Linked DNA regions of Macaca mulatta. The protein of the gene in region 7 interacts with the protein of the main gene of each other region in a biochemical or structural test. Links are inferred from orthologs where the notes say so. Each region holds a gene or a part of one and is shown on either strand. Other genes may lie near its edges. The genes, in order: MAP3K14, NFKBIA, TNFAIP3, NFKBIB, MAP3K1, TNFRSF1A and IKBKB.

The links.
Region 1: of the proteins of IKBKB (region 7) and MAP3K14, one has a biochemical effect on the other in vitro, tested with the Homo sapiens proteins (3 studies listed by BioGRID and IntAct, with this or other methods). The link is inferred for Macaca mulatta from reciprocal best matches to the Homo sapiens genes IKBKB and MAP3K14.
Region 2: of the proteins of IKBKB (region 7) and NFKBIA, one has a biochemical effect on the other in vitro, tested with the Homo sapiens proteins (58 studies listed by BioGRID and IntAct, with this or other methods). The link is inferred for Macaca mulatta from reciprocal best matches to the Homo sapiens genes IKBKB and NFKBIA.
Region 3: of the proteins of IKBKB (region 7) and TNFAIP3, one has a biochemical effect on the other in vitro, tested with the Homo sapiens proteins (2 studies listed by BioGRID and IntAct). The link is inferred for Macaca mulatta from reciprocal best matches to the Homo sapiens genes IKBKB and TNFAIP3.
Region 4: of the proteins of IKBKB (region 7) and NFKBIB, one has a biochemical effect on the other in vitro, tested with the Homo sapiens proteins (2 studies listed by BioGRID). The link is inferred for Macaca mulatta from reciprocal best matches to the Homo sapiens genes IKBKB and NFKBIB.
Region 5: of the proteins of IKBKB (region 7) and MAP3K1, one has a biochemical effect on the other in vitro, tested with the Homo sapiens proteins (3 studies listed by BioGRID and IntAct). The link is inferred for Macaca mulatta from reciprocal best matches to the Homo sapiens genes IKBKB and MAP3K1.
Region 6: of the proteins of IKBKB (region 7) and TNFRSF1A, one has a biochemical effect on the other in vitro, tested with the Homo sapiens proteins (2 studies listed by BioGRID, with this or other methods). The link is inferred for Macaca mulatta from reciprocal best matches to the Homo sapiens genes IKBKB and TNFRSF1A.

The regions. Positions count from the first base shown.
Region 1 is NC_133421.1:69,643,232-69,646,836, forward strand, and holds part of MAP3K14 (mitogen-activated protein kinase kinase kinase 14), read right to left. Parts: intron 2,474-3,605; coding exon 2,310-2,473; intron 1,816-2,309; coding exon 1,665-1,815; intron 1,094-1,664; exon of another isoform or gene 1-1,093.
Region 2 is NC_133412.1:108,520,494-108,524,687, reverse strand, and holds the start of NFKBIA (NF-kappa-B inhibitor alpha), read left to right. Parts: upstream 1-1,299; 5' UTR 1,300-1,389; coding exon 1,390-1,616; intron 1,617-2,226; coding exon 2,227-2,335; intron 2,336-2,662; coding exon 2,663-2,873; intron 2,874-3,163; coding exon 3,164-3,252; intron 3,253-3,359; coding exon 3,360-3,629; intron 3,630-3,999; coding exon 4,000-4,047; 3' UTR 4,048-4,194. UniProt on the Homo sapiens protein: Inhibits the activity of dimeric NF-kappa-B/REL complexes by trapping REL (RELA/p65 and NFKB1/p50) dimers in the cytoplasm by masking their nuclear localization signals.
Region 3 is NC_133409.1:42,959,978-42,964,116, forward strand, and holds the start of TNFAIP3 (tumor necrosis factor alpha-induced protein 3), read left to right. Parts: upstream 1-1,293; 5' UTR 1,294-1,346; exon of another isoform or gene 1,347-2,206; coding exon of another isoform or gene 2,207-2,257; intron 2,258-3,178; exon of another isoform or gene 3,179-3,404; intron 3,405-4,139. UniProt on the Homo sapiens protein: Ubiquitin-editing enzyme that contains both ubiquitin ligase and deubiquitinase activities.
Region 4 is NC_133424.1:49,994,204-49,998,542, reverse strand, and holds the start of NFKBIB (NF-kappa-B inhibitor beta), read right to left. Parts: upstream 2,853-4,339; 5' UTR 2,804-2,852; coding exon 2,625-2,803; intron 1-2,624. Other genes in the region: SIRT2 (NAD-dependent protein deacetylase sirtuin-2), read left to right, coding at 3,315-3,330. UniProt on the Homo sapiens protein: Inhibits NF-kappa-B by complexing with and trapping it in the cytoplasm.
Region 5 is NC_133411.1:64,697,022-64,700,626, reverse strand, and holds part of MAP3K1 (mitogen-activated protein kinase kinase kinase 1), read right to left. Parts: intron 3,002-3,605; coding exon 2,910-3,001; intron 2,640-2,909; coding exon 2,450-2,639; intron 2,144-2,449; coding exon 862-2,143; intron 242-861; exon of another isoform or gene 213-241; coding exon 60-212; intron 1-59. UniProt on the Homo sapiens protein: Component of a protein kinase signal transduction cascade. Activates the ERK and JNK kinase pathways by phosphorylation of MAP2K1 and MAP2K4. May phosphorylate the MAPK8/JNK1 kinase.
Region 6 is NC_133416.1:7,267,349-7,270,953, forward strand, and holds part of TNFRSF1A (tumor necrosis factor receptor superfamily member 1A), read right to left. Parts: intron 3,146-3,605; exon of another isoform or gene 2,862-3,145; intron 1,954-2,861; coding exon of another isoform or gene 1,938-1,953; coding exon 1,784-1,937; exon of another isoform or gene 1,761-1,783; coding exon of another isoform or gene 1,744-1,760; intron 1,584-1,743; coding exon of another isoform or gene 1,561-1,583; coding exon 1,432-1,560; intron 1,211-1,431; coding exon 1,000-1,210; intron 882-999; coding exon of another isoform or gene 866-881; coding exon 764-865; intron 1-763.
Region 7 is NC_133413.1:44,402,830-44,406,434, reverse strand, and holds part of IKBKB (inhibitor of nuclear factor kappa-B kinase subunit beta), read right to left. Parts: intron 3,332-3,605; coding exon 3,222-3,331; intron 2,158-3,221; coding exon 2,108-2,157; intron 2,001-2,107; coding exon 1,901-2,000; intron 1,703-1,900; coding exon 1,555-1,702; intron 1-1,554.

The DNA.
Region 1 (3,605 bases), on a different chromosome or scaffold from region 7:
GGGACCCCACTGTACCCTACTCCCCTCCCACAAAGGAAGCTGTAGCGCGCATCCTCAGGCGTGTTCCCATATGGATCTGTTGGCATTCCTTTGTCAGTGCACCCAGGGGTAGCGGTCCTGGGTCTCAGTCTGCAGACATCTGCCTGAGTGCAGCCAGGCGCTCTCCAGAGTGGGCAGCCTTGTCCACATGCCCATCAGCAGCACCCGAGGGGTCCCAACAGTCCCACATCCCACCAACTTTCTGCTTTTTTCCAGTCAAATGGCTCTCGAGTGTTACCTGGCTTCATTTATTTATTTTTTGAGTCAGGGTCTCTGCTGCCCAGGCTGGAGTGCAGTGGTACAATCGTGGCTCACTGTAGCCTCGACCTCCCAGGCTCAAACAATCCTCCCACCTCCTGAGTAGCTGGGACTACAGGCACATGCCACCATGTCTGGTTAATTTTTAAATTTTTTTTGCAGAGAAAGGGTCTTGCTATGTTGCTCAGGCTGATCTTGAACTCCTGGCCTCAAGTGATCCTCCTGCCCCAGCCTCCCAAAGTGCTGGGATTACAGGTGTGTGCCACTGCTCCCGGCCTCTCTTTATTTTGTATTCTTGGATTCCTAGCGAGTTTCAGCCCCCTTTACACATCATAACCCTTGTGATATTAGTAAACATATATTTCATCTTTAACCCCATTTCTGGCACATAACTCCTAAAAGCCTTCCTCTCCAAAGTGATCTCTTTCTATGTACTAATGGATTGACTGAAGGCTGGCAGCCCCTAGGTAGCTTCAGGATGGAGGCTGGTCATCCGAGAGACACAGGCAGGATTAGAGGGCTGGGACTTTCATCCTACCATCCCACATACTGGGAGGGAAGGGGGCTAAAGGTTAAGCTGTTCGCCAATGGCCAATGGTTTCATCAGTCATGACTTTGTAATGAAGCCTCCACAAAAACCCAAGACGACAGGGTTCAGAGAGCTTCTGGTAGCTGGGCACGTGGAGGTTCCTGGAGGGTGCCAAGCCCTAGAAGCTCCGCGCTCCCTCCCACATGCCTTGCCCTATGCATCTCATTTGTATCCTTTGTAATATCCTTTCTAATAAACTGGTAAATGTAAGGTTTCTCTGAGTTCTGTGAGCCACTCCAGCAAATTAATCGATCCCAAGGAGGGGGTCGTGGGGTCCCTGACTTATAGCCAGTTGGTCAGAAGCACAGGTAAACACATGGGCCTGAGACTGGCATGGGTAGGGGGCACAGTCTTGGGGATCAAGCCTTCCTGTTGCGGGCTCTGACGCTGCCTCCAGGTAGATAGTGTTAGAACAGAACTGAATTAGAGGACACCCAGCTCGTGTCTGCTGCGAACTGATTGCTGGCTTGGTGGGGTGGAAATCCCCACACATGTGGTCACAGGAGTCTTCGGGTTGATTGTAGTTGAGTGGGAGAATGGAAAAAGCACTTCGAGTTTGTATGTGAATTTTCTCTTTCCCATCTCCTGAGCGCTGCCTCTGCGTCAAGGCGTGGTACTGCCACAATCTCCCAACAACCCCGAGGCTGCTGCACCCCCTACTCCAGAGGGGGAAACTAAGGCTCTGAGGGGTACCTTGCTCTGGACCTGTGGCCACCTGTCTCCTCTGTCCACCTCTGTCCTCTGCCCCCCGGGTCAGCCAGCGCGCAGCTCCTCTTACCTTGCTGTAGTGCCTGGTTCACCTTCCCTGCCAGCTCCGCTGCAGACGCGCGGTGGACGGGCTCTTTCTTCAGCCCCTCTTGGATGGCCTGGGCTGTGAGAGGGGCACAGGAGGCTGGGATCTCCCTCACAGGCGGAGGCTCGCTGGCAATCTGGGGCACAAAAGACAACAGGTGAGGCCTGCCTTCCCTCATTTCCTGATACCCGGCTGTTACTGCTCTCTGTGCAACTCCCGCCGGCCCCTGCTGCCACTGTGCTGGGGTCTATCACAAGGAATGGAGGGGTCTGGGCTACAGTGAGGGCACTTTTCCCAGGACAGGGACACATGGAGCCCGTAAAACAGGCCAGAGCCAGGCAGCAAGATGCCCAGAGCTTCCAGGCCCGGCCCGTTAGGAGGCAGGTGGATGGGGCCCAGGGTATGGACAGAAGAGAGTTCTCACCTGCCATGAACTTGGTGAGCCTCCGCAGCTGGATCTCCCTTTGTACCCCCAGATTTGGGTGGCAAGTATTTGAATTAGGATCCCACATGGATGACCAGGCCTCCCCTTGCTCCAACTGCCACCGCAGAGCAGCCCCTCAAGCCTGCGGCCCGGGCCCCAGGGCCCTGCAGCTCCCCATGTTGGCCATGCCGGGTGCCGTCACCGACCTTGAGGCAGAGCGGCCCTCGGAAGAACTGAGTCCAGGGGTGGCAGCCGTTGAGCATGTGCAGCATCATGCAGCAGCTGCTCCAGACATCCACCTTGGCGTCGCAGCGCCTGCCCAACACCACCTCCGGAGCCATGTGGGTCTCTGTGCCAGGGATGTAGTCCCCTGAGAAGGCGGATAAGACATAAAGTCACCTGGAATGCTGATGGGCAGGAGCCTAGGCAATGGTCACCCCAGTTAATCCTCGGGGTATCTTAAATTTGTCACTGTTAAAGTACGTTTTATTTTATTATCTTTTTCGTTCTTTGAGACAGAGTCTCGCTCTGTCAACCCAGGCTGGAGTACGGTGGTGCGATCTTGGCTCACTGCAACCTCCGCTTCCTGGGTTCAAGCGATTCTCCTGCCTCAGCCTCCTGAGTAGCTGGAATTACAGGCATGAGCCACCACGCCCAGCTAATTTTTATATTTTTAGTAGAGATGGGGTTTCACCATGCTGGCTAGGCTGGTTTCAAACTCCTGATCTCAGGTGAGCCACCCACTTCGGCCTCCCAAAGTGCTGAGATTACAGGCATGAGCCACTGTATCCGGCCATGTTAAAGTACTTTAAATACAGAAATAACATCTCCAAGTCAAACTTGTAGGGAGGAGCTAGGCGGGGACTCTGCTGGGAACTTGTACCAAGCAACAGAGCACCCATGATATGGACTCTGCCCTTTGGACCAAACCCTTAAAGTGTTTTTTGAAAATAGGGCAGGGGCTGGATATTACAAATTAGGTTGTAGAAGGTTAATTACTGGTATGATGTTCCTGAAATACCAGTAAGTGAAATTTAAAAATCATAATAGAAAACTTATTTGCATAAAAGACTGAAAGAATAGATGGCAGATGTGAACAGTGGTTTTTTTTCCTGGTGATCTGTATTTGTAATTTTTGCTTAGCTCTACTTTCTTCAAAAGATATTAGAAAAAAGGGTCAGGCAGTGGCTCATGCCTGTAATCCCAGCACTTTGGGAGACTGAGGTGGGAGGACAGCTTAAATCCAGGAATTTGAGACCAGCCCGGGCAACATACTGAGACCCCATGTATAGCTACAAAAAATTAAAAAAATGAGCCAGACATGGTGGTGCATGCCTGTGGTCCCAGCTACTCATACTCAGGAAGCTGAGGCGGCAGGATCACTCGAGCCAAGGAGCTTGAGGCTGCAGTGAGCTATGAGTGAGCTATTGCACTCCAGCCTGGGTGACAGAGCAAGACTCTGTCTCTAAAAAATAAAAGTTAAAAAAAATTAGAAAAGATAC
Region 2 (4,194 bases), on a different chromosome or scaffold from region 7:
TCAGTCCATGGCTTGCAGGCTTGGAGGTGGAGGTGGGATGGAGAGCATAAATTACATTTCTGCAGGTGAAACCAGAGCATAGTGAGCCAAAACCCCTTTCTACCTGGGTGGCATGAATGGGTCCAACTGCTACTATCCCCCAGGACGAGGGAGCAAGGCGGGGGGGGGGCAGGATGGGAGGATGGGGCTGCCTTGAGCCTCCTGCAGGATGACTGGCAACTACTTTCTTAGCGGTCCTTAAGGTCCAATCGCGGTTAAGGCACTAACTAAACTCATTCTTCAGCCTCCTTCTCTAAGTGCTCCTCGAATTGCTCAGTTTAGATGCCCAGAAGTAGGCTCAGGATCCATTCTCTGCGGCAGCACAATGTAGGTCAGATAGCATGAATGCAACAGCTACTTATGAACACAATAGCTACTCTGTTATTGCAAGGTATCCACAACCACCACTACAAAGATTAACACCTTGCTTTACTTGGGGGGAAAAAAAAAAATCATGGTCCTATTCAGCAGTTTCCCCATACAGGGAGAGTTTGCCCCTCCCCCACTCAACAAGGCTGTTCATCCCTAGGAAGTGATTGGAAGTGATTTGAGAGTTTTCCAAAGATTTAGGCTTTCCACTCCTCCAAAGCTTTCACAGTTCTACCTGGCAGAGGTGCGTGGGGGGTAGGGGAGGAAGGGCGCGAAGCTAAACGTCCCCGTTCTGCAATGAGCCTGATATTAGCAGAAACACAAGAGCGGCCTGCAGCCCCATAACCACAGTGCGTCCTTCCCCTTAGAAGTCTGGGGAAAGAAAATCCCTACGCCCAGCCATCATTTCCACTCTTGCGTTTTCAAAAGATCAAAAAACGGAAAGGACCGGCAGGTTGGCAAACCCCAAAGAGGGACCGCCCATCATGTCGGCGTCCTTGGGATCTCAGCAGCCGACGACCCCAATTCAAATCGATCGTGGGAAACCCCAGGGAAAGAAGGTTCACTTGCAGAGAGACAGGATTACAGGGTGCAGGCTGCAGGGAAGTACCGCGGGGAAGGGGGCCTGGTCGGAAGGACTTTCCAGCCACTTGGCACTCATCAAAAAGTTCCCTGTCCGTGACCCCAGTGGCTCATCGCAGGGAGTTTCTCCGACGAACCCCAGCTCAGGGTTTAGGCTTCTTTTTCCCCCTAGCAAAGGACGAAGCCAGTTCTCTTTTCTGGTCTGACTGGCTTGGAAATTCCCCGCGCCTGACCCCGCCCCAGAGAAATCCCCAGCCAGCGTTTATAGGGCGCCGCGGCGGCGCTGCAGAGCCCACACCAGCCCGTGCCGCCGTCCCGCCCGCCAGCGCCCTAGCGAGGAAGCAGCGCGCAGCCCGCGGCCCAGCGCACCCGCAGCAGCGCCCGCAGCTCGCCCGCGCCATGTTCCAGGCGGCCGAGCGCCCCCAGGAGTGGGCCATGGAGGGTCCCCGCGACGGGCTGAAGAAGGAACGACTGCTGGACGACCGCCACGACAGCGGCCTGGACTCCATGAAGGATGAGGAGTACGAGCAGATGGTCAAGGAGCTGCAGGAGATCCGCCTCGAGCCGCAGGAGGTGCCGCGCGGCGCGGAGCCCTGGAAGCAGCAGCTCACCGAGGACGGGGACTCGTAAGTGGCGCAGACCCGGAGCCGGGGGTCCTCGGGAGGGCCGGATGCGCGCGGCCGGGGAGTGGGAGACGCCGGGCCTGGAGCCCGACCTGGGGAACTAGCGATGCAGCCGGGCTGGCGCCGCGGCGCCCCGGGGCTCCTGCACCGCCCCGAACGCTGCAGGGCTGCAGGGCCGCGCGGGGCACCGGCCCGACTCGGAGGGGCGGCGGCTGGGCCCTGGTGGACGGCAGCGTCGCCACACGCCCCCTCCCCCCAGGCCTGTCCTCTAGGCCGGGGGCGGGGCGGCAGCTGGGACGCGAAGTCCCCGGTTGCATAAGGCGTTTCTGGCCGCTGGCGGGCGCCGAGCAGCCGGGAGGGGAAGTACAGGGCGTTCCGAGCTGGCGGGAGGGCGGGGCGGTCTGGCCGGCGCCCGCCGGGGCCGCGGGGGGAGGGGGGCGGAAAGTCCCTGGGCGCCTGCCAGGAACACTCAGCTCATAATAACCTCGCGGAAAACACCGCGGCCTCGGCCTCCAGAAACCCCGGCCTTGCGCAATCCCCCGCAGCCCGCGCCTCCCTGGGCCCCACGCGGTGCACTCACCACCCCTGGGGTTTTTCCCTCTCTTCCCCACAGGTTTCTGCACTTGGCCATCATCCATGAAGAAAAGGCACTGACCATGGAAGTGATCCGCCAGGTGAAGGGAGACCTGGCCTTCCTCAACTTCCAGAACAACCTGCAGCAGGTGCGCCGCTTGCCTGGCCCGGGCTCTCTAACTCTGGGATGGAACTGATGTAGCAAAGTCACCCCAGATCCTTTCTGAATTCAGGGCCACTGGGCATTATTCACCCTCACCTTTTACTTCACGTCAGCCCACATCCTAGAGAGTGAAGGAAATTCCACTGATTTGGTGAGGTCTTTGTGACCCACCTGGAGTCTCTGCTATTTGCCAGTCCTCCCCACCCGCCTGTCCAGGAGGAGCAGCACCCAACCAGGAGACACGGGTTCAGGGGAACTCAGGGTGTGGGTTTGGTCCCTGGCTTACTTTCTCTGGTCTCTCCTGCATTCGTAGACTCCACTCCACTTGGCTGTGATCACCAACCAGCCAGAAATTGCTGAGGCACTTCTGGGAGCTGGCTGTGATCCTGAGCTCCGAGACTTTCGAGGAAATACCCCCCTACACCTTGCCTGTGAGCAGGGCTGCTTGGCCAGCGTGGGAGTCCTGACTCAGTCCTGCACCACCCCGCACCTCCACTCCATCCTGAAGGCTACTAACTACAATGGTATGTCTGCCTCCCTGCCCTGCCCCACCCCCTCAGGTGGCAGGTGATGTGGAGAAGGGGCAGGTGGGCCAACTTAAGGAGTCGAGGCAAGAACTTAAACTGCCAGCATTTGAAAGGTTGAGAAAATACGTGTGCAAAGTGCCTGTTGGATGCCTTTATAAAGTTCCTTCAGAACCCAGACGGTGGGTTCTTAAAATTCAGAAGATATGACTATTTGTCCCATAAAAGAATAGGTGAAAGGAGTGAGGGTTGAAACAGGTGGTTATACTTTTTTCGTTTTGTTCTTCCAGGCCACACGTGTCTGCACTTAGCCTCTATCCATGGCTACCTGGGCATTGTGGAGCTTTTGGTGTCCTTGGGTGCTGATGTCAATGCTCAGGTTAGTGCTTCCTGCCTCCGATGCACTGAGTCAAGTTCCCCGTGCTCATGTTGTGAGCAGAAATTCCAAACGCAGCCATAAGCATCTCAAATTCCTTTTGGTTTCAGGAGCCCTGTAACGGCCGGACTGCCCTTCACCTCGCAGTGGACCTGCAGAATCCTGACCTGGTGTCGCTCCTGTTGAAGTGTGGGGCTGATGTCAACAGAGTTACCTACCAGGGCTATTCTCCCTACCAGCTCACCTGGGGCCGCCCAAGCACCCGGATACAGCAGCAGCTGGGCCAGCTGACACTGGAAAACCTTCAGATGCTGCCGGAGAGTGAGGATGAGGAGAGCTATGACACAGAGTCAGAGTTCACGGAGTTCACGGAGGATGAGGTGAGTCTGTGAACTCCTTGGGCTCTCTAACTAATGAGGGACCATTCCCTTCACCCTCCCGGGCCCCTAGAACTGCTCCTTATCAGAGGGGTATCTACATAATGAGTCTCTCAAATTTCTGTGCATAACCAGTATCCCAATAATGTACCTTTTTTTTTTTTTAAAATAGCTTACCCTTTTTTAAAGAAAAGCATTTTTTAAAACATTTTTAAAATGGGAGTTAAAGGCAAACTCCCTCAGCCTGTAAAGTTCATTGTATTTGGGCTATGGAGAATGGAGTCCAAGGGTTATTTCCAGTAGCGGCCTCCCCATCCCAGTGGCTTGGCAGAGCTTCGGAAGTTTAATGTGTCTTCTTTCCCCTTGTTTTCAGCTGCCCTATGACGACTGTGTGTTTGGAGGCCAGCGTCTGACATTATGAGCGCAAAGGGGCTGAAAGAACATGGACTTGTATATTTGTACAAAAAAAAGTTTTATTTTTCTAAAAAAAGAAAAAAGAAAAAAAATTTAAAGGGTGTACTTATAGCCACACTGCACACTGCCTGGCCCAAAACGTTTTATTGTAGTG
Region 3 (4,139 bases), on a different chromosome or scaffold from region 7:
TAAAGGGACCACAGTACAGAATATTTCCAACTGGTTCTAGTTTAGCCAATCTAGTAAATGATCCAAAGGGTCCCGTGCTTAGAGGGCAGTAAGACAGTAAAAGCACCCTAAGCCTCCTCCCTGCACAGGACCTGCACCCCCACTGCCCAAGGGACTGCACCCATCTCCACATGACTCACTCTCCCTATGCAACGCATGGGGGTGGGGAAGGGAGCGCCAGTATTATCAGCCATCAGCACCCTGGGGTGAACTGATAATCAGGACAACTAAAAACACACCTAATAAAGCCTTGGAGACACATGGCAAGCACGGTGATGGACTAGAAGCGATTTCTAAGCTGAAATGCTGCTTGAATGCAATGTCAGCTGGATGCTTGGTGAGCAGAAATAGAGAAGGGGAAATGGAGCAAGGGTGGCATAGGGGTGAATGTTGTTCTGATTCCTAAGTTTACCTAAGATTGGGGCCACGGGGTCGGGTGTTCCCTGGGACCTACGTCTCATGCAGCCTGGGGTCCAGAGCTGGCAGGAACAATGGAGATGGGGACCAAAGGCTGTCACTGCTGCTTTTTCTCGAAATTCCCGCCCGGGTCCTGTCTGGGGCTCCCGCCTACGCGCTTATCACGTGCACAGCCCAAACTTTTCAGAGCCAGCCCGAGGCCTGCGGGCCCGGACGCCAGGGTGGTTTTTAGGGTTTTCTTTTTTTCTTATTTCCCTTCTTCTTCTCCACAGTTGATGATTTTCTGCAGAAAAACAACTGCGAAAAAGAACCTATTTCATTTCCAGTTCCCATCACCGCGATTTCCACATGGATGTGACGTGACCCCAGCTTCCGAAATGCCCAGGTGACTCACGCGGGGACACCCCGGGGCGGGGCGAGGGAGTTTCTCCCTGGGCCCGCGGGGACTGGGCGGGGCGAGGCAGCGGGGCGGGGCAGGGAAAGGGGGCGGGTCGGGGCGCGGAGGCCGCGAAAGCCCCTCGCCCCCTGCGCCCTCTGGCGGCCGGCGGGACGCAATTCGCAGCCCTACCCAGAGAGTCACGTGACTTTGGAAAGTACCGTGGAAATCCCCGGGCCTAGACCCGCATACAACTGAAACGGGGAAAAGCAGACTGCGCAGTCTGCAGTCTTCGTGGCGGGCCAAGCGAACTTGGAGCCCGCGGGGGCGGAGCGGCGATAGCGGCCGCCAAGAGAGATCACACCCCCGGCCGACCCTGCCAGCGAGCGAGCCCGACCCCGGGCGTCCATGGAGCGTCGCCTCCGCCCGGTCCCGGCCCCGACCTCCGCCTGCTGGGCGCTCCTGCTTTGACCCGGACTTGGGACTTTGCGAAAGGATCGCGGGGCCCGGAGAGGTAACCACTGCGCCTCCCAGTGCCGTCTGCCTCGGGCTCACCGCAGCCTAGGGCTGCGGATGCATGTTGGGCAGCGACCCCCGGGCTGGCTCCGTCTACCTGGCGTTGGTTTTGCAGCGCTCCTGGAGTGGGAGTTTGTTGGACGTTTGTTTCTGTCTGGGTTTTGAAGTGCTGGGAGTTGAGGTCACCGCTTCAGAGGTTGGAGTGACAGCCCTGGATACCTCCAGCCAGCTGTTCCTTTCGGATAATGCACGGAACTTAAGCTGCAGCTGACTGGTGAAGAGGCGCCCCTCGGGCCCTCTGATCGGGTGGTCGTTGATGCTTTGCTCCTTTCGTGTCTTTTTGGGAGCCAAGCGTTGCATGCTCCTGGCCACGTAGACCTTGCAGAAGCGCTGCGGCTTTTTCCCAAATTGTGCAGGGCCAGCCCGACGGGGAGTAGGGTACCGCAGTGGCCGCCAGCCCGGCGGAGGTGGGGGGCTTCAGTCCCAGAGACAGCTTCCCAGACGCTCAGGGGTCCGTGCACAGGGCTGGGGTCCTGGCGCAGGGTCTAGCTTTTCCAGCTGCAGCAGTGTAAGAGAAGTATGCATGTAGACATGGGTCGCTGGCGCCTGCTCCAGCCCCTACCCCACGGTTAGACTGTCTTTGTCAGCCGGAGTCGTCCCACATCCTGCCACCTGGCCTCTCAGGAAAGCAGTGGCATTAAGTAAGGAAGGAGCTTAACTCTTTTTGAACCCGCTTTGTTTTCAGTTCTCCTCGCCTCAGATCTTCTTGCCTTGGAAAGCCAGTCTGGTCAAGTGTCTCAGGGCAGCATTTTGGTGGAACCATTGTTAATTAAAGGGGCTTCTGGACCCGCAACCTTAATGTACTGGATTATTGAGCAGCCAATGAATGCTTCATTCTCATTGTTTAAGGTGCTGCTTTGATTTTTTTTTTTTTTTCAATTCTTAGTACTATTTTTGATAGGCACATCCCCAAATTTGGATGAGGTATTTGTTGATAAATAATTCATCAATTTCCACAACGCAGACAAAAATATCTGCCCAGAGTGGAAAAATAAAACAAGGGGGAGAAGAGTTTGAGCAATGGAGAAGTTCTGTAGAATCCTAGTGACAAAAGTTGAGAAATTACCTTTAAATAAGACAGAGAGGTAACAAATGTTAAGAAAAAAAAAAAGTTAAGGGTAATATTGCATTGTTTGCCACTTTATAATGTATCTGAAACATTTATTCTTTAATCTTAAGTGTAGAGAGATCCAAGAACTGGAAACTTGGACAGTGGGTTTTGATTTCTAAGGAGGCAGTTTTACAGGCTGTGCAAGGCTAAACCTACCAATGAGATCACACTGGGGTATCCAATATTGACATTTGCATGTCTTGCATATGGTTTACAGCTCTCACTATTTTAGATCTTTGGTGAAAAATCTTTAGATTCAGAAGAGAAAAAAGGGTCAGACAAGCAAAAAGAGATAACACCTCATTTGTTTAAAATCTTCCTATTGCCCATCTCTTTCCATCTGATTGTGGCAGGCACTGTAGCCACAGGTTTGGTGTTGTGGGATTGCAAGGGGCAGGTATTGAAAGACCTGGCTCCTAGGCAAAACTTCGCCCCTGAATGGCTGTGGGATCTGAGCAGTACCTGTAACTCCGTTGCCTTAGCTGCAGACTAAGTTGGTAGTGTGATTTCAAGGAAGGGAATAAGGTCATCTTTGACTTTTAATCCCATCATCAAGCATGGTGATTGGCCTTCAGTAGTGGTCAGGTAGTGCTTGTTGGGTGGATGGGTGGGTGGGTGGGTGGATGGATGGATGGATGGATGATATCGTGAGAGAGACTTTTGCTGTGCCACAAAGGAAAGGTGTATGTGTTATTTTTGTCCTGTTATGGTTTTGCCCAATTCCACCTGTAGAGGACGTCTGACATCAAAAGAGAGCACCATCTGATCCAGAGAATGACTCCCACTATGCCTTTCCCAGCAATCAGATTAAGAATCCTAATCTAAAACTATCACCAGAAAACTCCTCAGGAGAAACCATGGGTCATCTAGTCCAACCTCTCCCCTGTGAGTGGGCCACAAGAATTTAGACCACCTTATTAATGGTGTTAAGAGAGTCTAGACCCACGCAGGAGTAGCTACCCTAAAATCTAGATTTCTTCTCCTCCCTCTTCCATAGGTTTAACATTTTTATTAACTGGAGAGTTGCCCTGGCAAATAGGATGCGGCAGGAATGGAATTAACAATCACTGCGAAATTTCCTAGGGAATGTCTTTGTGCTCTGAAAACTTCTTCATCTTCTTGGAAATTAGGAATTGTGACCAGACACCCTACTAAGGGCTAGTGAATCCGAGCTGGCTTTTTACACTGTTCCATACTGGAGAGATCCCACATCATGTAAATTTGCATCATCCTGCACTGTTGGCATGGGTTGTAGATGCTGGTCTTTGCCGCCTTTCCTCCTTCATTTGCCAGAGTGGCTTCCTGGTGGAAACTTCTTTCCTTGTCTGCTTCTAGACTTTCATTCCTTCTACTAGTTGATTATGCTTAAAGATTTCAGGGTGAAAAGCCAGGCAGACATGCCCCTGTGTTGGTACCTGGAGGGTGATGATAAAATTTCATTGGCAGTTGAGTTAAAATGATTGAGCTCCAATATCTGTTCTTAGAAGTATAGAATTTATTGTTCTATTATTATTTTGTGGTTTTTCATTTTTTGTTTTCGTAGAGACCTGGGTCTCACTATGTTGCCCAGCCTAATCTCAAATTCATGAGCTCAAGTGATCCTCCCACCTAGACCTCCCA
Region 4 (4,339 bases), on a different chromosome or scaffold from region 7:
GAGAGAGAGAGACAGATGATAGATAGATAGACAGACAGACAGAAATACAAATATTTTTAGGCCGGGTGTGGTGGCTCACACCTGTAATCCCACCACGTTGGGAGGCCGAGGTGGGTGGATCACTTTAAGTCAGGAGTTCCAGACCAGCCTGGCCAACATGGTGAAATCCCATCTCTGCTAAAAGCACAAAAATTAGCCGGATGTGGTGGTGCATGCCTGTAATCCCTGCTACGCGGAAGGCTGAAACATGAGAATTGCTTGAACCTGGGAGGCAGAGGTTGCAGCAAGCTGAGATCATTCCACTGTACTACAGCTTTGGTGACAGAGCAAGACTCCAGTCTCAAAAAAAAAAGAAAAAGAAAAAAAATACTGAATTAGGCCGGGTGTGGTGGCTCATGCCTGTAATCCCAGCACTTTGGGAGGCCAAGGTGGGCAGATCATTTGAGGTAAGGAGTTTGAGACCAGCCTGGCCAACATGGTGAAACCCTGTCTCTACCAAAAAAATTACAAAACTTATCCGGGGGTGGTGGCACCCCCCTGTAATCCCAACTACTCGGGAGGCTGAGGCAAGAGAATCACTTGAACCCAGGAGGACAAGGTTGCAGTGAACGGAAACTGTGCCACTGCACTCCAGCCTGGGGAACAGAGTGGACTCCAACTCAAAAAAATAATAAAGCATACTGAATTAAATGAAAATAAAAACACAACATACCAGAATTTGAGAGATATTGCTAAAACAATATTGCTAAACAATAGTCAGGAGCAAATTTATAGCACTCAATACCTATACTGGAAAAGAGGAAAAAAGAAAGGTCTCAAATCAATGATCTCAACTTTCACCTTAAGAAACTACAAAAAGAAGAACAAATTAAAGCCAAAGTAAGCAGAAGAATGAACATAATAAAAGTCAGAACAGCCTGGCATGGTGGCTCATGCCTGCAATCCCAGCACTTTGGGAGGCTGAGGCAGGCAGATCACGGGGTCAGGAGTTTGAGACCAGCCTGGCCAACATGGTGAAACCCCATCTCTACTAAAAACACAAAAATTAGCCAGGCATGGTGGTGGGCACCTGTAATCCCAGCTACTGGGGAGGTTGAGGCAGGAGAATTGCTTGAACCCAGGAGATGGAGGTTGCAGTGAGTCAACATGGTGCCACTGCACTCCAGCCTGGGCGACAGAGTGAAACTCCATTTCAAAAAACAAAACAAAACAAAACAAAAAAACCGGCCGGGCGCGGTGGCTCAAGCCTGTAATCCCAGCACTTTGGGAGGCCGAGATGGCGGATCACGAGGTCAGGAGATCGAAACCATCCTGGCTAACACAGTGAAACCCTGTCTCTACTAAAAAAAAAAAAAACTAGCCAGGCGAGGTGGCGGGCACCTGTAGTCCCAGCTACTCGGGAGGCTGAGGCAGGAGAATGGCTTAAACCCGGCAGGCGGAGCTTGCAGTGAGCTGAGATCCGGCCACTGCACTCCAGCCTGGGCGACAGAGCGAGACTCTGTCTCAAAAAAAAAGCCAGGACAGAGACTAATTATATAAAAAGTAAAAAAAAAAAAAAAAAAAAAAGAAACCAAAATTAAGTAATGAAATGTAATGAAAATTAACAAGATTATAAAGCTGGTTCTTTGAAAAGATAAATATTTCTTCAGTGCCTCCTGGGTCAGGCACTGCTTGCATCACTGGGCATACAGCAGAAAACACAACAGACAAAAAACCCAGTACAGTCCCTCATCTGGGCTTTGCAACTGCAGTTCCTTCTCCCTGAAATGCTCTTATCCTGTTTATCTATTGCCTCATTTTCCTGCTTTATTTTTCTCCAAAGTACTTACTACCTCTGACTTTATTTCCTTCTCTTACTTTCTATGTTTCTTTCTTTCTGCGTGTCTTTCTTTGTTTCTTCCTGTCTTTCTGTTTCTTTCCTTCCTTGCGGTCTTATCTGTTTATTTAGTTCCACTAAAATGTATGCTCCACAAGCGCTTAAGTTTTTGTCTGTTTTCTCCACTGCCTTTATCACTAGCACCTAAAACGGAGCCTGGAATGTTGTACTGTGTAAAGAATATTTGTTTAACAGATGGATCCTTGGTCTCGTGGAGCTTACATTCTTTTTTTCTATTTTCCTTTTTTTTTTTTTTTTACTTTAATTAGGAATTCAACATAGAAGAGCTTACATTCTCTCTCTTTGAATTTAAGATTTGAAGAACACTGCTCAGATGACAGGATCTTAGAGTAAGGGACCAAGCATTAATTTTGGAAATCAAACTTTAAGGCTCAAATCAGGAACTAAGAATCAAAGATCATATTTGGAGGTTAGAAGTCAGGAGAAGCCACAGTTCTAACAAAAGTCTCAGGACTGGAGTCAGGTTTGGGTATCAGTGGATACAACGTGGATTCCAGGAGCTGAGAATCATAGTTCAGGAAAAGGTCAGAAATGATTGGGTGAGGATCATAGCTGGAAAGAAGATTGGTTTTGTTAAAAGTTAGGACTCGGGGGTTAGAGGTCAGGAAGTTCAGCATCGGAAGTCAGATTTAGGAGTGTGAGGTTAGGAAGCCTCAGGGATCAGACACTAATGGGGAATCAGATGCCGGGTCCTAAGGCTCCGTTTGGCAGCCTAAAGTTCACTCACGTGTCCCCATCCTCAGTGACGTAGCCGAAGACGAGGGGAGCCCACGACAGCCCCGGGCCCAGCTCCGCGCCCAATCCCGGTCCTCCGGGGGCCGCTGCGTCCGGACCCAGGGAGCCGAGGCCGCTGTCGCACCATTCATCTGCGTCGGCAGCTTTTCCCAAGCACGCGACCCCAGCCATGGCCCCCGCCACCTCAGGGGCCCCTCGCAGTGGCCCGCCTGTAGCTGGGCTTTGCCGGGAGTTCTGGCGCTTCCGCCCTGCGGGAAATTCCCCACCACGCCCCCTGATTCATCCAATGATAATATGCTGAATCGCTCACACCCCGCCCCCGTGCCGCATGCTGACCAATCAGAGTATTCGAGAGGACTACGACTCTCTAGCCGTTCCCACATTTTCCGGGCGCCCTTTACCAACATGGCTGCTGACGCCATGACTTCTGGGACTCGTAGTCCGGTCCTCGCGCGCTTTCTTACCTAACTGGGGCGCTCCGGGTGTCGTAGGAAAGCGCGTCTGCGGCCGCAATGTCTGCTGGGAGTTGTAGTTCAGTGCCCTATCCCGGCCACTCCCATTTCTGGTGCCGTCACGGGACAGAGCAGTCGGTGACAGGACAGAGCCGTCGGTGACGGGACACAGTGGTCGGTGACGGGACAGAGCGGTCGGTGACAGCCTCGAGGGCTTCAGCACCGCGCCCATGGCAGAGCCGGACCGTGAGTCGGGAATCCGGGTGGGAGGGTCGGGCCGCGCCGGGGCCTGATTGAAGGCTGCAGGCCCCGGGGCCCAAGGGCGGCCGCAGTGGGGCGGGAAGTAGGGAGCGCCTCGGGGAGTGGGGTTCTGAGGGTTGTTGCTAAGCGATCTATATCGCCAGGCTGGTGGGTTTCTGGGTCGCAGGGTGTTCAGGGTTCGTTTACCACATCCACTTGCCAAGTTGCCAATGATCGCGTGTTTCTCACACCTTGGTTGCTAAGGACCCTCGCTGCAAAGAACATAAGTTGCCCCGGTCCCGGCTGCTAAGGGTACCTGATTGTTAGAGGCAACCAGAGGATGCTGAGGGACCCCTGCTGTCCCCTTCTATGGCTTCCCCTTGTTCCGCGCCTCTCCTAAACCTACCGCCTCCACTGCACCACTGCACCTCCCTCCTAAACCTGCCTCCCAGCCAAAGCGTCCCTTCCCTTCTCTCTTCCTTTCTAAACTTCCCTCTGCCTTGTAAATCTAACCCTTCCCGCACACACACTGACACACTGTCGTGTCCTTCCTAACTCCTCCTGAGTGTTCCTTCATGCCCTGAATCCCTTAGGTAGGAGGAGGAGGATCGCTTGAGCCCAGGAGTTTGAGGCTGCAGTGAGCTATGATCGCACCATTGCACTCCAGCCTGGGTGACATGAGCGAGACCCTTTCTCTAAAAAGTAAAAAAGAAAGAAAGTAAGTCAGGGCCAGACACAATGGCTCATGCTTGTAACCCCAGTACTTTGAGAGGCCAAGGTGGTTGGATCGCTTGAGCCCAGGAGTTCAAGATCAGCCTGGGCAAAAGCCCCTACTTTCTCCCTCTCCTTCTAAATCTTCCTCTCCAGCCTCTCTGCCCCTCACTAATCACCTCTCCTGGCATCACTTTGCATGCTGATAAGATTTTTTCTCCGCCCCCTCCCTCCCCGTGCTCCATTTTTACCACCATCCCATCCCAGTGTAACTCGGTTGGTGGGTGTTCTGGCCCCTCACTGA
Region 5 (3,605 bases), on a different chromosome or scaffold from region 7:
TGAACATGCTTCATTTTGTGATTTGAATCATTTCATTTATATGCTCACTAGATATTTACCTGTTTAACAGCCATTAAAGTTCCAGTTCCCACATCTTGAGCCTGATAACAAGAAGAAAATGCTCCAAGGCCTATCTGTTGACCTTTCAGCCATTCAGTATCTTCTCTATACGGTTGTTTTGCTTTGGTATGTCCCGGTAGAGTCTCTGGTGTCTACATATTAAATGAAAGCAATCTTTTTACTGTTAAAGGAGTAAGATTTTGTGAAATTAGTCGGCAAGATATTATTCTTGTTCAGTCTGGCTTCCCAAACCACCTATAAATGTGACCTCTGAATGGAAGGTATTTGTGACTAACATCAAATGCAAAAGTGATCACCATTATAGAATTAACCAGAAATGCCCACAGACAAGAATTATTGCTGTTTAAACAGTACAAACATTATTGTTGTATAAGTAATAATTTTATGTGGAAAAATCTGCTTCTAAATGTTAGAAGCAGCATTTCTGAATTAGGTTTATTTTCGTATGGTCCAAGGAAGCTCTCTGTGAGACAGTGTCTTGCTCTGTTATTCAGGCTAGAGTGCAATGGTGTAATCACAGCTCACTGCAGCCTCAAACTTCCAGGTTCAAGTGACCCTCCCCACCACAGCCTCCTGAGTAGCTGGGACCCCAGGTGTGCACTATCACGCCTGGCTAATTTTTTGTAGAGACAGGGTCTTGCTTTGTTGACCAGGCTGGTTTCGAACTCCTGTGCTCAAGCAATCCTTCGGCCTCAGCCTCCCAAAGTGCTGGAATTACAGGTATGAGTCACTGCCTAGCCCCAAGGAAGTTTTCTAACCTCTTAAAGAATCTATACTTACATCCTGTTGAATAATGATGATATCTTCTCCATTTTCAACCTGCAGCTGAGGAACTATGGGGAGGGCATCCTGAGACGCTGACATTGCCATGGCAATTGCTAAAGCTTCTTCTTCTTCAGCTTCCATCTTTTCTTTGCACTTTTGATTATGATTCACATCATCTTTGTAGGTATCATCATTTTCAGCCTTTTCAGGAGAGAGGACAGCAACTTCTGACTTGAAAGTGACTGTTGTATCACTTGAAGGCATAGATGCTTCAAGAAGGTCCTCAATACTGGAGTTGAGCTCTGTATTGACATCTAATCTGCATTTCTCCTCTACTGGGGTGAACACCGTCTCATCACTGGGTATAACAGCATTACTACTACTGCTGCTACAGCCAAAGTTGTCATCACATTTGGAACTACTGTTCAGATCAAGTGTCATGCTATTTTTTGAGGGATCTCCCTGTTTACTTGTATTACCTGGGGTAGGTCGAGATGGCTTTGGCCTGTGTATATTACTGGAGGGCAACGGTCTTGACTGAGTAAAGACTGGGGAAAGTTTATCTGAGTCTCTGTTTTCAGGACAGTTTCTGTGGAATTGTAGAGAAAACTTGCGCTGTGTTTGAGGAGATGCAGAAGGTATTTTGCAGGGAACGAATCCCTGAAGTCTATGCTTAGAGACATCTGTTGCAGTGCCAGCTGGTACAGATGGGGCCGAAGAAGAAGGGCTTGACAAGGCTGGAAACATTAATTGGGAATGATGAGATAAAGGAGAGGAGTTCAAACACTGACTATGGGGCCTGCCTTTTGTTTGAACCATTGGCTTTGGTTGCTCTGTTGTTGTTGAACTAGAAGGTCCTACTGAAATGCTGGCCAGTCTCTCAGAAATGTCCTCTGAACTGGCACTCAATTTTGTAGCACATAATCCTTTTCCAGTTTTCTCTAAATGGATTGTGCACTCAGGGGAACTCTTCTCTGTGGTTTCCGGATAGTCACTGGGAACAGATGCCTGCAAAAAGCTGTCCTGTTGACCATCCAAAGTGTCTTCTACGCCCAACTGGATGGCTTCAGCAATTTCCACCTCATCTGCAATAGCCATCAAACGGCGACGCATCCTGGTGAAGTGAGTGGAACTGGAAACACTCAGCATTTCTAACAGTTTTGAAAACACATGGGGCACTGTAGTAACCATTCTTGCAGAACTCAAGTAGATCCTTCTGGAAAGTTTGCCAACCATTGAGTGGGAATTATCAATGGACTGCAAAGCAAAGGTTAAGAGGGACAGCAGCTTCTTATACCTGAAAGAAAAAACATTCATTACAATAATAAGTTCCAATTACCGAAAAACACATGGAAACTTAAAAAATGGTAGTAATTTACAGCATGTATACTTCAAAAACCATTTCAGCATAAAGTATCTATAAATTTTAAATTAAACATCCTAGACTTTGGGTTTTCATATGTCAATCAAATATTAAGGTATCAGCAACCTATTTATGCTCTGTATTTTCTGAGTCTTTCATAAATCTAAAATGTGTCATTCTTGAGGAGGGTGTAGGGAGGGCAGAAAGATACATGTTATATATTTTCAGAAGAAAAATCACCTGATTTCAACAGGCTCAGCTTGTGAAACATCAGTACTGACAATATGAGGGTAAAATTCAGCAGGAAATTCCAACAACAGTCTATCTATAAGACAAAGGCGGCCAAGAAGTTCTTGCCAATTGTTTGATTCAGTTTGGTTTCCAAGAATACAATTTAAGACATAATCAACACCACCAATACCAATGGATCCTACAAAAAGGAAAGTAAAAATAAGTGATTAAAAAATAGTGATATTAAAATCTAAAACAAGACATGATTAAATGGTATAAGGCCAACAAAAATATTCTGAACTATTTTCAAGAATTTCTCTCTCAGATTAATTCACATTTCTAATCTAATCAATTTATAAAATTACTTCAAAATCCTGTAAACTGCCTCATGAGAGATTATGAGATTAGACAAGGCTGCTGAGGAACATGATAAAACATGCTATATTCATTTTAAGTGAAAAGTTATTACCAGCTTTAAGTATTTCTCTGCCAACTGCCAACTCTCCTGCTTGGCCTTTGCACAGTTCCAACAGTGTTGATATGGACAGCTGACTTGTGCGGCTAAAAAGCAAAGGAAAAGCAACATCAATCCTGGATCTTGGCTAAAATACTATACAATATTAGAGGCATAATGCAAGGCCTTGTGAAAAAGTGGAGAAATGATGTTTTCAGGAGTGTTTACTTTTCCACCACTAAAATCACATGAACAATGTCACCATAAATAGTAATACTCATTTATTAGGTCTAATTTTGTAAATTTAACATATCCTCTACGTTAAGCACAGAATCTTCAACAATGGCTCTTAGTATTGATTTAAATACCAAATTAGATAAAAGTCTTACATTTTGTTAAAAGAAGTAACAAAGACCTTGACATTTTGATTTCTGAACTTTTACTAAGAAGCTCTTGAATTAAAAACAAAACCTTCCCATCCAAAAACCCTCCATTTCCTTACATAGGCAGAATGAGGTCTGAATATTATAAAATCTCTCTACAGTATTTCTTACGTTCAGTCATTCAGGTGACCAGGTAAACAACCTAACTTTAAAGTTTCAAAAAGCGAGCAGCACAACAAATACCATGAGAACACTGAAGTCTCGGAAATATACCTATTCTAATACTAAAAAATGACACTTTTCCTATGCATTTTGCAAATTTTAAAAT
Region 6 (3,605 bases), on a different chromosome or scaffold from region 7:
GGGAAATACCATATTTCATCAAACCTAAGATGCAATCAAGAATAAAAGGCACTTTTCTTTACCTGACTACTCAGACACGCACAAAGCTGCCAATTAAACCTTGATGAATCATCAATTACAGGAAGTTTGATTTCAGAGCTGTCAGAGTATATGTCCTAGAATCAATGAACTATCGTAGATCCTATGGCCCAAGAATCTACATATCTGAGTTGGAAGGGCTACAAGTCCTTGGGGCATGATCTTCTATCCTCAAAGACTCCTTAAGATTTGAAGAGCGAGGCCGGGTGCAGTGTTTCAAGCCTGTAATCCCAGCACTTTGGGAGGCCGAGACGGGCGGATCACGAGGTCAGGAGATTGAGACCATCATGGCTAACACTGTGAAACCCCGTCTCTACTAAAAAATACAAAAAATTAGCTGGGCGTGGTGGCGGGCGCCTGTAGTCCCAGCTACTCCGGAGGCTGAGCCAGGAGAATGGCATGAACCTGGGAGGCAGAGCTTGCAGTGAGTCAAGATCGCACCACTGCACTCCAGCTTGGGCGACAGAACGAGACTCCGTCTCCAAAAAAAAAAAAAAAAAAAAGATTTGAAGAGCAAGGGGAAGGACTGCCTGGTGTCTTAACAAAGTGTCTCCCACTCAGCCAGTAGGAGCCTGAGCACTCTGGGGCATCCTGGCATCCGTTGTCCCACTAGTGGCTCCCATCAAAGTCACCCATCCCAATCCATGCCACCATCCAGTGCCCAGCAGCTCTCAGAGATACTCACTTACTACAGGAGACACACTCGTTTTCTCTTAGAAAGAACCCTGCATGGCAGGTGCACACGGTATTCTGTTTCTCCTGGCCTGTAGGGAGAAGTGCAGCACAGCTAAAGAAGGAGCACCCTGCACCCTCACCCCACAGGACAGAGGAAGTGACGAGGGAAAGGGTGGGGGCGGCCAGAGAGGAGTTGGTCGTCAGACCCACAGACTATGGGAGGGGAAGGAAAGGAAATGCCGCTACATGGGGAAGGGCCAGTCCCTGGGGTGGGGAGAGGGCTTGGCGTCAGGAGAGCTGCACTCACAGGAGAGGTGCACGGTCCCATTGAGGCAGAGGCTGCAATTGAAGCACTGGAAAAGGTTTTCACTCCAATAATACCGGTACTGGTTCTTCCTGCAGCCACACACGGTGTCCCGGTCCACGGTGCAAGAAGAGATCTCCACCTGGCCCATTTCTGGTGAGGGGAGAAGATGGGGTATGAGTCCTGCATCCTCCTGTCCCTGCATCTCCTTCCTGATATTCCCCTAAGTGTGTGTCTGTCTCTGTAACACACACTCACATCCATGCAGTGTCCCAACACACACACCTTCCTGCCCACACCAACCAGCCTGCACACAGACAGGCATGCACACACCGGTCAAGACCCGCCTGACTCTCCAGCCTGCGCACACTCACCCTTTCGGCATTTGGAGCAGCTGAGGCAGTGCCTGAGGTGGTTCTCTGAAGCGGTGAAGGAGCCGCTCTCACACTCCCTGCAGTCCGTATCCTGCCCCGGGCCTGGACAGTCATTGTACAAGTAGGTTCCTGTGAATGGAGCAGCAGTTAGGCTGCAGGTGAGAGTTCAAGGAAGGAGCCCCATGCTAGGGACAACAGCCAGAGCCAATTCCCTGAAGTCTCTAGGAGAGGAGGGAGGGAGAAAATCCCAGTCCAGGAGAGGCAGCAAAGTTAGGGAAGAACATCTGGAAGAAGCAGAGGAAGAAGCAGCACCCCAGACCTGAGGGCATTCACCGTTTCCACTTGCCCCTACCTTTGTGGCACTTGGTACAGCAAACGGAATTATTTTGAGGGTGGATGTATTTTCCTTGGGGACACACACTATCTCTCTTCTCCCTGTCCCTGAGGGGAGGGACCAGTCCAATAACCCCTGAGGGGTATATTCCCACCAACAGCTCCAGGAGCACCTGGGGAAGAATCAGATAGAGGATAGACACCATCAGGAGAGGGAGGGATGGGAAGCTTAGGGGCAGCAGATCTAAAACTTCCCCAGCTCTGGCCGGGCGCGGTGGCTCAAGCCTGTAATCCCAGCACTTTGCGAGGCCAAGTCGGGCGGATCACGAGGTCAGGAGATCGAGACCATCCTGGCTAACTCGGTGAAACCCCGTCTCTACTAAAAAATACAAAAAACTAGCTGGGCGAGGTGGCAGGCGCCTGTAGTCCCAGATACACGGGAGGCTGAGGCAGGAGAATGGCGTAAACCTGGGAGGCGGAGGTTGCAGTGAGCTGAGATCCAGCCACTGCACTCCAGCCCAGGCGACAGAGCAAGACTCCGTCTCAATAAATAAATAAATAAATAAATAAATAATAAAAAATAAAAATAAAAATAAATAAATAAAACTTCCCCAGCTCAAGTCCTTCCTTGTGAAACATGCTGCCCAGGCCAACCCACTCACCAACGTTAGAGTTCTTCCTTGAATCTTAGACAGTTGGGATCATACAATCTGATGCTTATTGTTCTCTAGTTGTCCTGTGTGTTCATTTTTGTTCCCTCAACTCAAAGCTAGTAGGCCCCAGACCTAAGCTGTATTTTTTTTTTTTTTTTGAGACAGGATCTTGCTCTGTTGTCCAGGTTGGAGAGCAGTGATAAAATCACCACAGCCTCCACCATCCACACTCAAGCAGTCCTCCCACCTTAGCCTCCTGAATAGCTGGGACTACAGGCGTGCACCACCATGCCCAGCTAATTTTTTTTTATTTTTAGTAGAGTCAGGGTCTTGTTATGTTGCTCAGGCTGGTCTCAAAATCCTGAGCTCAAGTGATCCTCCCACCTTGACTTCCCAAAGTGCTAGGATTACAGGCGTGAGTCCAGCCCCGTATTTTATCCTTACTGTGAAATCCCCCACAGCAGCCAACAGTGCTGGACACAGGGCAGATGTTGAAAGGATGTGTTTTTGATTGGGAATTGGCAGGTTACTTCAGTGATGGCCCTTTCTTCCAACAAGCAGCCCTAAAGATTGGGGCGGTGTTTCTTCCTCTGGGTGCTGGGTTCACCGTGTGATTGCTTTGTGAACATTCACAGAGGTAAACAGTGAGGATCTGTGCACATCCCGGGAGTATTTCTAAAAAGGTCAGCTGGTGGTGGGGGCGAGTGATGTTCCTGTGAGCTCCACTCCTGGGGAGCGGGCAGAAGCAGAAGGAAGTTTCTTTACATGCTTGTATCAAACCTTACTCCGCCTCCTGCCCTCACATTCCCTGGCCCATCCCCTCCACCTCAAAATTTACACAAACACCCGGGGTTAGCAATGACAAATGGGGAGGAGAGTAAAAGGGAAAGGTTGGGGATCCCACATGGGTAGACGGGGGATAAAGTTGAGATGGGGGGAGGAGTGGGCAAAGGTGTGCAGGACACTCAAATAGAGCTGGCCAAGGCTAGTGACTCAGCTTGGATGACTGTCAGGTGGGAGCTGAGGGCATGCTGGGGAGTCCTGGAGCCCCTGCACGCCACGGTATTCTGGAAGGTACGCTTTGCAGTCTCAGGCCAACCTCACGGCAGCTAAACGGCTTGTCCTGTTCTGGCATCAGTGCCAGGAAAGCAAAGCCAGGAGTGAATATTTAGCTCCAACTTGGACTTT
Region 7 (3,605 bases):
CTAAGACAAACTAGAGCTCCCCCTGTGCATGGAAACTGCAGCTCATGCCTCCTGGAGCTGCTTCCTAGCCCTTCCTGCCCTGAACGGCTCTTACTCATGCCTCTATCTGTGCCCCTCAAAGGATCAGGCCCTCCTTGGAACAGGTGCCATGCCTTCTCACCTGTGTGTCTTGCTGGGCATACAGTTAGCACTCAATAAATGCTCAAGGGATATAGACGGCACATCAGGCTATCACCTGTGCACACCTGCACCTCCCTCTCCTCTTCAGATCCTCTCTACCTTGTCATCCTGCTTTCTCCCTTTCTTCTCTTCTTACCGGAGGATGTGTCACTCCCACTCCCAAGGCATGCCCAGTGCTCTGGCACGTGACCCCAGCCCCTCTGTTCTCTGCACTGTGTGTGGATTGTCCCCTCTGCCTTTGACAATGAGAATCTCCTAATGCACCACCTCCTGCTTCCACCATGAGCAATGATCTCCCTGTCTCCTTCCCTTTGCTCTTAAAGGCAACTGATGCCTAAATCACTCTTCCATTCATGTCACCTTCTCTGCAGCCTTTCACAATGGGGCTTGCACTCCCAGCAGCTCTGGCTCCCATGACACGGCCAGGTCTGCCCGTCTTAGTTCTTGGCTGTTTCATTTCCCATTTCCCCACCGTGTGGCATTCCGTGGACTCACAGCTACGTTAAGATGGTGTGCACAGAAAACCTGGCTTATGGCACTGAGGGCAGCGCAGACGCAGATGATGGTCAACCAAGGTGCACTGCTGTGCATGATGGTGGGCTGAATTGGTGGCCCTAAGAAGGATATACCCACATCCCAACTCCTGGAGCATGTGAGTGTGATAGTACTTGGAGAAAACGTCCTTAGAGATCCTGAGATGACATCACTCTGGGCTATTTGGGTGGGACCCAAATCCAATGACAAGTGTTCTTGTAAGAGTCACAGATAAGGGACACAGGGGTCACACGAAGACAGAAACAGAGACTGGAGTCACACACCAAAGAACACCTGGAGCCACCGGGAGCTGGAAGAAGCAAGGATGGTCCCTCCCCAAGAGCCCTCAGAGGGAGCTCAACCCTGCTCACACGGGACTTCTGGGCTCTAGAGCTCAGATAACACATTTGTTTTTGTTTTTAGTAGAGACAGCTCTGTTGCCCAGGTTGGAGGGCAGTGGCATAATCACAGCTCACTGCAGCCTTGAACTCCTGGGCTCAAGCAATCCTCCCACTTTGGCCTCCCCAAATTGCTGGGGTTACAGGCATGAGTCACCGTGCCTAGCCCAAATTTCTGTTGTTTTAGCCCTTCAGTTTGTGCTAATCTTTATAGTAGCCACAGGAAAGTAATACACAGATGAATGAAAATGATTAGCACAGGTCCTTCCTCTGACCTCCCTGCTCACACCAAGTCAAATAACAGCGAAGTGAAACCTGAGCAGCAGCCGAGTGGACTGCTGGTGGCTCTATGGCGTCCCGTGTGGAATGGCGGCAGTACACGGAGGCAGAAAGGCACAGGAGGCTGATGGGCCAAGGGCCTGGGGCCACAGCACTCACTCACACAAGCAATCTTCAGGAGATTCCAGAGCTCCTTCTGCCGCTTCTCCTGCAGCCGGACAACAGTCTTCTCATCCTCATTCATTAAGCTCACCACCTCTTCCACCTTGGGCAACAGTTCCAGCGCCTTCTGCTTGCAAACCACAGTTTTACTGCAAAGAATAAACATGACAAACTAATGGCATTTGGGCTGGAGAAAATGGAACCCATGGCAGCTGTGCATCCAGTCAGCAGCTGCAGAAAGTCTCTTCATGAGGTCCAGTGAATCAGAGAGGAGGGAGGAAGGTGGCCTCACACCCAGCCTGCATCTCCCAGTCCTTCCTCCAGAGTAGGAAGGGCGGGGCTCATACCTGAGCTGTGTATAGATCACTCGCACTTTCTTCTCGAAGCTCTGAATTGCCTGAAGCAGCAGCCGTACCATTTCCTGACTGTCACCCTCAGTTCGCTGGTCTGGAGAGGGGAGGGTAGCATAGTTCCTCAAGGAAGCCAGCAGAGAGTAGTGATGCCCCATAAATGAGATAAGGAGAAGCCCAAGGCAGACACAGAACCCCACTTACCTCGAGGCTTTTCCCTTAGTCTCCTGTACAGCTCCCTTGCTTGCTCCTCTCTAAAATATACAAAGAAGTTCTGTCTAGATTTGAGGTCAAATATGGCTAATTTTTATATTTTTTTGGTAGAGATAGAGTTTCACCACATTGCCCAGGCTGGTCTCGAACTTCTCGGCTCACAAGCAATCTTCTTACCTTGGCCTCCCAAAGTGCTGAGATTACAGGTGTGAGCCACTGTGCCCAGCCAAAAATATATATATATTTTTAAATTAGCTGAGCACGGTGGCATGCGCCTGTAGTCCCAGTTACCTGGGAGGCTGAGGTGGGAGGACTGCATGAGCCTGAGAGGTCAAGGCTGCAGTGAGCTATGATTGTGCCACTGCACTCCTGCCTGGGCAACAGGGCAAGACCCTGTCTCTTAAATAATACAAATACAAATAAAAGAACTAGAGGAGAATAAAGGGTTGATTAGAGAAAAGACAGAATCAAAGTTCTGACATTTGGAGCTCCTGTCCTAAGAATCCTAGTGAGAGAATCAGGGAACACTGCTGAGCTCATGGTGACACAGCCCTCAAGAGGCTGACCCGGCCTGCCCGGTTCCCTCCATCTGCACGCCAGAAGGACATGTGATCTCCTTCAGGTAGGAGTGATCTGCCTAGACCCCTCCTCCCCTCCTGGAGTCAATGCCAAATACCTGACAAAGACTCAAACGAACGGATTCCAGGTCCGAATTCCCCCTTGTCAGGTTCTTCCTTCTCTACTTCTCTATCTTACTTTCTGTTCTGAGCTATGCCTGGGTCAGGGTGGGTGGGACAAATCAGGGGAGTCTGATACAGGGGTAGAGGCTGCTTGCATTTTAGAGCCTTTACAGATTATGGCCTCCGTCTCAAATGCGTTACCTGAATTCATCCTTACAACTTCGTGAGGTAAGACTGCTTTTCTTGCCACTGAACAGATTTGGAAACTGAGGCTCAGTGATGATTTGCTGGAGGTGACCCCACAGGGGAGCATGCTCTAGAGAATGGTCCCACACAGCCACTGAGGGTGCCCTGGACACACACACAGAAGCTCCAGGGTTATCTGTATGTGCTAGGCACAGAGGGGCCCCCCAGTCAGTACTCACAGGTCGTCCAACGTTCCCCCCTGCTTCCGGCCCATGGGGCTCCTCTGTAAGTCCACGATGTCCGTCTGCAGAGCCATCATCCGTTCTACCAGGAGTTTCACTTCGTTCTCCTAATGGAAAAGCTGTGCTAATGTCAACTGATGTGGTAGGAGCATGCTGAGATGCAAGATCTGAGGAGGAGCGAGACCTGGGGACCCTCCACATTGCCTGAGGACTCTCAATGGACTGGCTCAAAGGAATGTGGACTGTGGGGTCAGAATGGCTGCGCTTACATCTAGGGTTCACCACTTTCTAGCTATGTGACCCCTTGGCAAGTTACTTACCCCCAGCTGCAGTTTCCTTTTGCATAAAATAGGCTTCTAACAGGGCTATTTGAGGAGTGAA